3 linked regions of the Drosophila melanogaster genome follow. The protein of the gene in region 1 interacts with the protein of each later gene in a pairwise test. Each region holds a gene or a part of one and is shown on either strand. Other genes may lie near its edges.

Evidence for each region.
Region 2: the proteins of Arf4 (region 1) and CG10177 interact in a two-hybrid assay, tested with the Drosophila melanogaster proteins (one large-scale study listed by BioGRID).
Region 3: the proteins of Arf4 (region 1) and CG31482 interact in a two-hybrid assay, tested with the Drosophila melanogaster proteins (one large-scale study listed by BioGRID).

Annotation. Positions count from the first base shown.
Region 1 is NC_004353.4:1,121,588-1,126,232, forward strand, and holds Arf4 (ADP ribosylation factor 4), read left to right. Parts: upstream 1-2,579; 5' UTR 2,580-2,677; coding exon 2,678-2,744; intron 2,745-2,848; coding exon 2,849-3,111; intron 3,112-3,180; coding exon 3,181-3,306; intron 3,307-3,362; coding exon 3,363-3,449; 3' UTR 3,450-3,738; downstream 3,739-4,645. UniProt on the Drosophila melanogaster protein: GTP-binding protein involved in protein trafficking; may modulate vesicle budding and uncoating within the Golgi apparatus.
Region 2 is NT_033777.3:23,519,120-23,523,289, reverse strand, and holds CG10177 (uncharacterized protein), read left to right. Parts: upstream 1-1,706; 5' UTR 1,707-1,846; coding exon 1,847-3,082; 3' UTR 3,083-3,144; downstream 3,145-4,170. Other genes in the region: CG10175 (uncharacterized protein), read left to right, coding at 26-215.
Region 3 is NT_033777.3:6,599,624-6,603,227, forward strand, and holds CG31482 (uncharacterized protein), read left to right. Parts: upstream 1-1,618; 5' UTR 1,619-1,686; coding exon 1,687-1,728; intron 1,729-1,786; coding exon 1,787-1,915; intron 1,916-1,972; coding exon 1,973-2,289; intron 2,290-2,342; coding exon 2,343-2,442; 3' UTR 2,443-2,578; downstream 2,579-3,604.

The DNA.
Region 1 (4,645 bases):
TTCTTTAATAATCAAGCCCAAATATATTTATTTTGCTGAAAGAAAATGATTTTCATATTGAAATGCAAACACCGATTTAAGCAAAAATACCACAATTGTTTTGTTTCTTAAATTAGTGTTCTTCCTTTCTATTATTTTTAAAAGCATTAAAACTACATGAACTTACATAAATATATTGTACATATGTGTATATATTGAAGATTATATTTTATATTTTCCCAAAACTCGTATCAATAAATCTTTAAAAATCATGTACCTAGTAGATGTTTATTTTCCGTTCTTTAAGATAAAAATAATAATAATATAATACATTGCAATTTTATACTCTGTGATGACACATTCGACTTTAGAGTAGTTTTTCTTTCTAATACGTGGTAAAATAAGACAAAGTTTTGTCGTGTGTAGGCCCTACACCCTTTCGCAGTTTTTATACAATATGTTGAAAACGCGAAAACGAAATTCGACAAATTTTTTTGTTGCTTAATAAATTTTTTGCAGACACATAAAATTATATTTATTTCTGAACATTTTTTTAAGATTACACAGTCTTGCGCTTCAAGGGCTCTTATGAAAGGATAAACAATGAATGAATTTTGAGAGAAAAAGAAACGTTCAAGGAAAAGAAGTATTACAGAGTTCAGTTCATAATAATAAAAAATTAAATATTGGTTAAGCCGAGATTTTGTTTTATACTTTGGAAACACTTCTTCTTTCAAAGCACTCAATATAAATTTTCCTGATAATTTATTCTGGAAAGTATCTAGAAAACAATCCTGAGTAATGTTTACGAAAGTATTGTAATATAGTCTCGGAATATATCCAGAAGACATTTAGGGAATGCTTACAGAAGCTTTTCACGGAGTTCCTACAGCACGGGAAGTATGAAAGAGCCCGGCAAAAAGGAACACCAAATTTCCTCCTCATGAAACCACTTCCACTCGAAAAAGAGTATCGAAAGTGTTCCGGAATAATTCCACTACCGTCTCGGTGCTTCTCTACTTTTTTCGTTGGTACAATACAATAGAAAGAATGTAACCAAAGCAACAAGAATTACGGCCAATTTTTTACGTTAAATCAAAAACTTTTTAAAGTTGTTGTTGGTGTTAGAATAAAATAGATAAGTTATTCAAATTGGTTCGGATTTTCTTTAATTATATATATGTAGGACAGAAAGTGGAAAGTCTGGGAATTTTAGTAGCACTTTTTTTTAGTTAGTCTCATTTTTTGTTGATTAGCTTACAGCTCCAAAACACATTTTATTCGAGGACCGTGTATAAACTCTAGTTCCCGTGACTATATATGATTAAACATTATAAAATGTACCACAGTGAAACTGATTGTTGGATTACATATATGTATTACATTAGTATATATGAATATGCATGGATGAGAAAATCTTGTGTATGTGTTGTATCCAAGAGATACACATTCTGTAATGAACTTGGATTGCCTAACTGAACGAATAGCGAACCTATCCGAAGGGAATCATGCGTAACCTAAATACTTTGATTATAACTTTTACATATGCATAGATTTAAATCGACTCAAATATGAAATAGTACAAGTTAATTAGACGGGGCACATTAACAAAATCTCAGAAAATAATTTTTTTTGTTTCATTACATAGTTTCTTACTTTTGTCAGCAAAATAATTACTTGTGACGTTTGAAAAACTAGTTGTAAGTTTAAATACAGAAGTCAATACACTGGAAACGTTTATCCGACATTTTCAGATCCTTGTGTGGAAGTGGTTAATACTTGAAAAGTGATTAAAAAAAACAACATATAAGGCCCTGTGGAGACTATGCTCTAACATTTTAATCGAATTTTAAGTGATACCATGGTTTGTTTAAAAGGAAAGTTAAGGGGTGCTTACGCTGTTTTGATTTACAAATGACTGGAATTTTTGGGTAGGATATTTTCATATATAGATATTTTGATTCCTTGATATCCCAAGACTCAACATTTTTTTTTTATTTTTGATCAGAGGCAGAATATTTATGTTGTTAACTATTGCAAATCGCAACCAAAATATAGTGATTGTCATTTATCTTGGCCTGATATCGACATATTGGCAATAGCAGACCTTTGATTAATAAAAATGTCTTAATTTTTGGTTAATAGAGAGGAAGAACCTAAGTTTTTTGTTTTCAGGCAGCTTTATAGTGTTTGAAAAATTTGTAACATCGTTTTTAAATTTGATTTTTAAATTTGATTTGAAAAAGTTGTTTTGGCAATTAGAATTCGCGAATAATACCATAGTCCTACAGAGCACATTCGTAAAAAACAGTTGTGATTTTTAAAAATTGTGTAACTCCGAGTCTAAGTTATATGCTCACTAACCCCTTGGGGGCAGCCTTTCTAGGTCAATTTAAATATTTCACTTAAAAAATGTACACGAAAATGGTTTTATCGACATTCGACTTAATGGCGCAGTCAAAACATTGTATTATCGATGTAGTTTTGTGTTTCTTTTTATTGTTTTCATCAGACCATGCTTAGGGTATAGTCAACATACTGTTATTAGTATTTTATAGAAAACAGTATTTTTAACCATCGTTTAACTTTTCTGAAAAGTACAGCATTATTAATCGAATGACTAGTTTACACGTCAATTTACTGAAGTTACTGAAGACAAGCTTTTTCCTATACGAAATAAAATAGTTTCTTATTAAACATGGGACTAACAATATCTAGTCTTTTGACACGTTTGTTTGGAAAAAAACAAATGCGTATTCTTATGGGTATGTTCAAAATACGATACACTAAATATAAGCCTTTAGTTCGCGCATAATTTTTAAGTACTTGCAATCAACGTGCACATAATTTTAAATATTTTTGTACGCAGTTGGCTTGGATGCTGCTGGAAAAACGACTATTCTGTACAAATTAAAGCTGGGTGAAATTGTAACCACCATACCAACCATAGGCTTCAATGTCGAGACTGTGGAATATAAGAATATATGTTTTACCGTTTGGGATGTTGGTGGCCAAGACAAAATTCGCCCGTTGTGGCGACACTATTTCCAAAATACACAGGGTCTTATATTTGTAGTGGATTCCAACGACCGCGATCGTATAACTGAAGCTGAAAGAGAACTACAGAACATGGTACTCATTTTATTTAATTAAAAGTATATACATACGTGTCAACCAATTCCATGTTTATTTTTCCCACAGCTCCAGGAGGATGAACTTAGGGACGCGGTACTTTTGGTTTTTGCCAACAAACAGGACCTACCGAATGCAATGACAGCTGCCGAGCTTACGGACAAGTTGCGCCTTAACCAATTAAGGAATCGCCACGTATGTCTTAGGGGTAATTGTCCCAAAAATGTTTACTTATATCTACCCATTTTTAGTGGTTTATTCAGTCTACATGTGCTACCCAAGGGCACGGTCTTTATGAAGGACTTGATTGGCTATCAGCTGAATTGGCTAAAAAATAAAAATATTCCTTATATTGTAAGATAGGAATTGCTGTTCTCGTATGCTGAAAACTAGATTTTAAATAAACTTGTAAATGTATATAAACTCGTTTGGAACTTTGTTGTAAATTTAAAATGTCCACGTTTTATGTGTTGGTGAGAAAACTGCACTTGCCTTAGTTGTATTTTTAAAAATTAGTGATCGGATAACTAATAAAAATATATTTTTAACTTACTTATTCGGGAAAATATATGTTCGTTTTTTTATTAGTATGCCTCAATACCATTACCAGAATTCAATCAAATAAACATATTTTTGATTCGTACTCATTTATGTTAATTCAGTTTTTAATAGCCACCAGATTTGTTGAAAACTACGTAACTGTTAGCAGAAGCGTTTCCGACCTTAGAAAGAATATATATTCCTGATCAGGACCAATATCCGAGTTGATCTGGGCATGTCCGTATGAACGCCTCGGTCTCAGGAACTATTAAAGGTAGGGAATTGAGATTAGACATGCAGATTCTATGTCCGTATGAAGAGAACTATTAAAGGTAGAGAATTGAGATTAGACATGCAGCTTCCAGAGGTATTTACGGAGAGAAAACTTTTGATATTTTAAAATATTTTTATTAGTCTTGTAACCCAAAATCCCCAAAACCCCCCACCCAAAATCGCTCAAACATGCCGAACATTCTTAAAAAATTGGTTATTCTTATTGAAATCTTTCACACTTCCTGCTGAGTAAATGGTATCTGATTCTCGTGGAATTCGAGAAAGAATTCGACAAAATATAAAACTATGAAAAAATATCGAAAGTTTTTTAAAAATGTGGTCGAGGCCGTTTTGGGTGGTTTTATTGCGTTAGAGTGCGAGTGGCCAAAATTTTTTTTGGCAAATCGATAGAAATTTACAAGACTAATAAAAATATCAAAACATATTTCAAAAGTGTGGACAGTTTTGGCCAGTTTGTTTGCGTCAAAATTGGCTTGGCAACATCGGCCAACAAACTTGCGCTGCGTCTATGTCTCTAGAATCTGTATGCTTAATCTTAATCTTCTAGCTTTTATAGTTCGTGAGGTGTCTAGATATCCATGGCCGGATCAAAGACACTAATAGCTTTGGCCAGATCGACTCGGCTGGATGTTCGGAAACGCTTCTTCTACAGCTTGTTTGTGTTGAAATTGGCGTGGTAACATGGGTCAAAAAAATTGTC
Region 2 (4,170 bases), on another chromosome or scaffold:
AAAATTTAACCAATGCTAATTACAGCTCTCCTACGCCTGATTCCGAGGATCCTATGCTGACCACCAAGTGGGCACCAATCGATCCCACCAATGTGATGAACAGTCTCAACTATATGGATATCTCAGCCAATCTGGCGATGAAAACCAATCCCGAGCCGGAGCGTCAGAGATTCTGGGATGAGATGTATCAGCATTACAATGGGGCTGCCATGTAAAAAGACATCCAAATACCCTCACAAAACCACACACACACACACCACACACACTCACCCTCACACACTCTATTTTCGTATTGCCATTTTGTGAAAGATCGCACGAAACCCAGAATATTTAAATGCAAAATTCATTGTACAATTTTCGTAGCTCGTAGAAATTGTTAGCTATATTTTTAGCTATATTGTTAGCAACTATTTTGTAAGTGTTCCAGCATTTATTCACACCAACACCTATTCACTTTCATAACCCAACGTTGAGATGCCTTTCCTTACTACACGTGTATCCACAATAACCAGGTGTAAATAGTCAGAGTCTATCTAATGCAAACATCCAAAACACGATGTTAATGTAAATTAAACATATTATATTTTAGCTGTTGTCTTTGAATTTGTTGTAAATTATTTTAATTTGGGGAAGTTACAATTTCAACAAGCGTAGTTATCGTCTCTCAAAATTAATCCAACGTAAGTTCACGTAAATTTATAAATTCTAATACACAATCAACTTGTAACTTACATTCCTTATACATGTAGAATACAAACATGTAAAAAATCAGAGTTATGTACAATCTATCAAAAAAGTTAGCCGATACAAGAACCCATTGCATTCTACACATTCTTTTATATGTATGCTATCCCGATTTTACATATCAATACTTATCCTTAAAAATCAGGATAACAAAGACCGACTTCCTTAGTTATCAGGATGGGGAGAAAGAATGCTGAAAGAATACATGCAATTACCACGAAGGGGAGGTAATTTCAAATTACAATTTAGAATATTTAGAACAGGACAAATGTTAGCATTATTAAAAGTTTTAAGAAGGAAAATAAAATTTTTCCTGAATTTTTGTGAGTTTACTTTTAGGGCGTGCACGAAAAAAATAGACTATAGAAATAAAAGAATAGAAGAAAAGACTTGTGAGAAAACGCATTGCTGAAATTCATAATCTGACGCCTATAAATAATCCAATAAAATCGTTATGTATATGAGATATATGCCCTGAGAAGCAAAATGCTGTGCATAAATCAAACGTGATCCAGATAAAAACCAGTGGCCTGACGTCCAACTTCGCATCATTTTAGCAATAAATATACAAATTTCTCAACAGGTGGTTAATTGAGAAAGTCAACCGAATCGATTTGTTGACTATTACAGAAATAGCCGTTGCGTGAATTTTAAAACAAATTACACCTCAGGATCCCCATGTGGCACTCTGATGGACTACAAATTTGCACTTGACGCGATTTAAGTGGCCGCCAACGGATTGTCAGGGGGCAGCTGCGAGTTCATCCAAGTATCGGGGGTCGCACACACACTGGGCGACAACGCTGATTATTCAATTATTCCAACGGCTTTGGCGCTCTTCATCCGCGTCGAGTCGCTGCCATTCACAATTTAGTGGATCATAAATTATTCCAGGGCAGGGAATTGCGGAAGAGCATTGAGAGAAACAAGCCTGTTTCTACCGCATGGAAACCGAGATGGCCAAGCAATCGCCTTCACAAACTTGGGAAGCTAAGCCAGGTTACACAGCACAATTTCAGATTTTTCTTAGAAGCTCAGCATTCTTTCGTATATTTTTTTACACTACATTAGTTTTACAAGATTTTTAACGTTTTAGCGCGTTATGTCAGAGCAATCAACTTCTCTTGGCTCCAGGAGGGTAGGTCCTCCACTTCACAAAAAAGCTCTGCGGGTGTGCTTCCTGCGGAACGGAGATAGACACTTCAAGGGCGTTAATTTGGTCATCTCTCGAGCCCACTTCAAGGACTTTCCGGCTCTTCTGCAAGGAGTCACCGAGTCTTTAAAACGCCATGTGCTTTTGAGATCAGCAATCGCGCACTTCCGCCGGACTGACGGATCGCATTTAACATCGCTGAGTTGTTTCCGCGAAACCGACATTGTGATTTGCTGCTGTAAGAACGAAGAAATAATTTGTGTCAAGTACAGCATCAACAAGGACTTCCAGCGAATGGTGGACTCTTGTAAACGTTGGGGCCAACATCATTTAGACAGTGGAACCCTGGAGTCCATGAAGTCCCACGACCTGCCCGAGGCCATACAGCTTTACATAGAGACTATAGAGCCCGTTGAGCACAACACAAGGACGCTGATATATCGCGGGCAAACCAGGGCCAACAGGACGAAGTGCACCGTAAAGATGGTGAACAAGCAGACTCAAAGCAACGACCGCGGAGATACCTATATGGAGGCAGAGGTGCTGCGACAGCTTCAGTCGCATCCAAACATCATCGAGCTGATGTACACGGTTGAGGATGAGCGCTATATGTACACGGTTTTAGAGCACCTGGACTGTAACATGCAGAAAGTAATTCAGAAGCGCGGTATCTTGTCGGAGGCAGATGCCAGATCGGTGATGAGATGCACGGTATCGGCACTGGCGCATATGCACCAACTTCAGGTGATTCATCGGGACATCAAGCCGGAGAATCTGCTGGTTTGCTCTTCATCCGGCAAGTGGAACTTTAAAATGGTCAAAGTGGCGAACTTTGACTTGGCCACTTACTATCGTGGCAGCAAGTTGTACGTCCGTTGCGGCACTCCATGCTACATGGCACCCGAGATGATCGCAATGTCGGGATACGATTATCAGGTGGACTCCTGGTCGCTGGGTGTTACTCTGTTTTATATGCTCTGCGGTAAAATGCCCTTTGCTAGTGCCTGTAAAAATTCAAAGGAGATCTATGCAGCGATCATGAGCGGTGGACCCACGTATCCCAAGGATATGGAAAGTGTCATGAGTCCAGAGGCTACCCAGTTGATCGACGGACTGCTTGTGAGCGACCCCAGCTATCGTGTTCCCATCGCTGAGCTCGACAAGTTCCAGTTCTTGGCCCTATAGCGTTGTTCAAAATTTCCAGTATTATCGGATTTTTTAGAATTTCAATAAATTTAAATAGGTTCAAGTGAGGCCATTACAATAGCCCAAGATTTATGGTGGCAGTGAACGCTTTTAATTGGCTTAATGCCGTCAAAATTAACTACGCATGACCATACCGTTGACTGCACAGCGATGCTTGTATGGACATATATATTTGTTATTAACGTCACAATTTATTTATTATTTATGTTTGCACAATGCAGCCAAAATGCGCGTGAGTCGATGGTAAACACTGAGATATTACGTATACGACACCTTGTACTCGAATCCGAGCCAAAATACAAACGAAAGCCATTGTTTGCGCTGTCTATTTAAACAGGGAGATTCAGTGACAGTCGTATCTGATAAATCAGAACTCTCTGGGCTAACCTATCGATATTGCGACACCACACGGGGGCCCACAGAATATCAAGCAGGCGCCACCCCTTCCCCGACTTCGACTCAAGGTCGCTTGCATTGAGAAGTGTCTCTGCCTTCTGATTTCGTTGATAAGATGAGCTTATCGCACTTATCTTCCGCTTCGCTTTCAATTTACGAATCATTTCAATTGAACTTTTTCCGCGGCACAGCCGCAAGTTGTATCTTTCGGTAACAGTATCTGTGAGAGCATCGTCGATGTGCACTGTGTAATTTTCTCTCTTCCTGAACATGTATGTGTGTGTCACTTACAGCTCACCGCTTTCTGTTCACAAGTTTTGTTTAGTTGGAAAAATGTTCTTTCAGTCGGCCGTCATTTAATCCATTGGTCGGACTTGCGGATCCGTAGATTCGCTGTGACAGTTGCTCTGTGGCTCTGAGTGCCCTCTGATCTCCAGTCCTCAGATCATCTCATTTCTGGAACGACACGCGTCGGCAAAACATAACGAAACGGAGCTTGTGAAACTAAAACATTGTGCCTATTATCAGTTCGCAACATGCCATCATAAAGTGCCAAAAGTTTGTTGAGGCTCTTTTGCAAAACAATGGAGATCTAACAAAATCTCGATTTAAGGGTGTCAATCAATTTAATATCTAAAAGGTGATAAAACTACTTAAGCTTAAGCGTGCTG
Region 3 (3,604 bases), on another chromosome or scaffold:
TTACAATTTTGAGTGTGTGCTGCTTGTCCTTGCGTGCCTGGAATTTCAGAAAAAATAAACGCTTTGCGTGTTGCTCTTCTGATGTCGTTTAACCATTATGTGGCATGAATTTGCCATTTTCATTTAAATGCTGCTCTTGGCAGCGAGTCAACTCGTTGGCTTTTTAGCGACTGTTCTGCATTCATAAGCAGCAATCGTATATATCCTGCGGAATGTACTGAAATTGTTGTTGGATTTAGGTCTAAATGTATACAAAACTAGTATTCTTATTTGTTAAGCCCTGAATAAATTTAATTTTTAAATTGCATAAATTGCAGTGCAGTGAAATCATCTGTAATACCCATAGTACCAAAAACCTTATTTTTGTGAATGATTTTGTGTTGCGTACAAAACCTAGATTTCACGCTGATCATTTCCATTCCTAAGTTTTGAAAACAGCAGAGGTGCCATCACCAGTGACGAACCAGATTATGCTCATGCTGGTGCCATCGAAATTGATAGTGGAAATATGTGTGCTGAATGGGATATTTAAGCGCGCCTATCAAACACGCGCACAATAAATCTTCGTCACGGGCCCAAATTGACATTTTACAGCCAAAAACCAGAAACCAAAGCCACGCAGAGGACAAAGTAAGTTCCACTAGTCCGTGTTCCAGCTGCTTTTTTGCTCCTGCGGCTGCCGCTGTTTCGAAAGCCACTGATATTGTTGTCAACGATGATGGCCCAAGGCATCAGCCACATGTGTGGGAGCCAGAGCTCGTCCCTCCTCAAAGTGCCCTCGCACATGGTTGGCAAAGCCAAACCTTTATTGCCACAGCTCCATGGAGCAACAGCGAAAATTTAATATCTGGCTGGGGCGTGGCTCCATTGGAGCTGGTCCGTTGTTGCTGGCGATCAGAACTCATCGCATTATCCTTTGGCCTGGTGGCGGTTACTCGCTCAAAATAATTGCACACTGCACCCCCAATAAGTCTGTTCGCCCGTTTGATACAGAGAAATTTCTATTCGCATTTCCCAAACAAAAGTGGTGTACAAAAATAAAACTGCATATAAGTTTTAAAACATACGCCATACAAAATATATTAAAAAATGTCCGAAAAAATATTGTGCTTTTCCTCGTTCTGGTTTTCAGTGTCTCTGTGAAGTCATCTGTCAGTACCCTAATGCAAAAAGCATGAAACCTCAGGCCAGCTGTCAACACAACAAGCAAATTGCCGCGGAAGCATCAGTTTTGAGGCAACTAGACTTTTTTGATATGGAAAAACCCCTATCAGTAAGAGTCACTAGAACTATAGGTTTATTTTTAAAAATAATCAGCTCCTTTAACACAAAGTTAGACTTCTAAGTAGACAAACAAAATTTAACCCTCGTCTAATTTGTGTTTCTTTTGAGATTGGTTTTGATACTCAGCTTTCCATGCATTATGTCCGAATCTAAAGTCAACTTCATATTTTAGTAGATTTTTGGAACGATACTCATGTACAAATGATACAAACTGCATGAGAAGTGCACGGACTAAAAACTGTATTAATTAAGGGATCCTCCATACGCTTTATAGGTACACCAAACTAATTACAATTTAAGTAACTTTTAAATTACGTCACCAGAATTTCGAGGTCTTTAAAGCAATCAGAATCCTAGATAAGTTTGTCAAAGTTTTCGTGCTATAGTTATTCTCAAAAAAACATGTTTTTGGTGAACATATTGATTGTTTTGGCTCTATGTTTGGTATAATTAAATATTTAGTAATTTTAAATGAAATCTGATTTATTCTCCTGTATTCTAGTTGGTGTTGGTTATAGCTGATCTTCAGGAGGACCATCTAAATGAACACAATCGGTTGAGGGAGAAGCATGGAAGTCCGCCTCTGACCTTGGACGATGAACTCACAAAGGGATGCGAAGAATATGCTAAAGTATTTCGTTGGTTAATAACAATGTTACCTTTTTACACTTTTAATACCCTCGAACAGGTGCTAGCCAATAATGAAAAGTTAGAGCATTCAAGTTCTGCCGGTCAAAACTATGGTGAAAACTTGTGCATGCGGTCACAAACCCCTCTGCAATGTGTTCAAGACTGGTACGACGAAATCGCGGACTACGACTTTGAAAAGCCACAGTTTGCAATGTCAACGGGTCATTTCACCGCCCTCGTTTGGAAGAATGCGAAAAAAATGGGTATTGGGCAAGCCAAGGACAAAAAGGGTTACTACTGGGTGGTAGCAAGATATTATCCACCAGTCAATGTGAACGGGCAGTTCGAAGAAAATGTTCTTCCGCCGATCAAAGGGTAAGCAAATTAATTACATCTGTAGTTTTTTCTTTCATTTTATTTCATTGCAGGGAAGGTGATGAAAATGGTCAAGGCAATTTGAATAGATTTCAAGTTGACAATATTCCCATCATAGTCATGCTTTGGTTATGCTGGCAATTCACAAATTGAGGGTCATTATCACTTTGAAGTTTTTGTGCCGCAGTTCTTGTAAATTTGTAGTTAAGCAATTTGAAAAACCAATTACTGATATTTGAAACTACTCTGTACCCAATAATAAATTTCACTTTTTGGAAGTTTGGTGAATATGCCATTGTTAGTTATGTAAAACCATTCTATCTAGTTGCTTGCAACTTGTAGTTCACCAGGAAGATATTAAAACAGCACACGATATTTAATGATCGAAACTGGGGAGTGCTGCCTTAACACTGGGGTGTTTGGCATTTACAAAAACTATTTAAATGCATGAAATATTTTGAATTAAAAAAAAGAGAGAATGTTATAGTCGAGTTCCCCGACTATCTAATACCCGTTACTCAGCTGCTGGCAGTGAGAACGTGATATTTCATAATTTTCTGGCATATCGATAGATATTGGAGAATTTAATGGGAAGGCGTGGCTGCATGGATGAACAAACTTGTGCTTTAGAATCTGTATGCTTTATCTTAACCTTATAGCTTATATAATTCCTGAAATTTCGACGGTCATACGAACGACCAGACAGACGGACATGATCCTGATCAAGAATAAATATACTTTATACGGTCAGAAACTCTTCCTTCTACATACTTCCTTGACATACTTTTTAACGAATCTAGTGTATTCTACTTAATTCTACGAGTAACGGGTATAAAATGTGTTAAAATTTATATTATTTGAAACAGCTATTACTACAGCTATAGAAATCCAATCTAAGACGACACAGCACTGGTGGGCGTGTGAGTATGTTGGGTTAATTTGAATTCGTGCGATAGGGATATTCAGTTTTTTTTTTTCACTAGGCGCGGGTTGTTCTGGCCTTTTTCTTTCCGCATTTATTTTTATCTTTTTTGGCAATCAGCATCAGCCGAAAGGAATTCCCCATTGACTATGCCGGTGTCAACAAAGTGGCGGAAAAGAATTAGGTATACTGTCTCGGTTGGCTGTTTATACCCTTCTACTATCTCAATCCTTAACAAGTTTTAGATGGCTTAATATATTTATAAAATTATATAAATTGTAATCATTTTTATGAATTATATCACATTACTTTACCACTAAGTCAAAATGGGTGACTTATGCACCTTTTGGGGTGGTACCTACCACGTACTGGGTATCTATAAGTCGGTGCAAT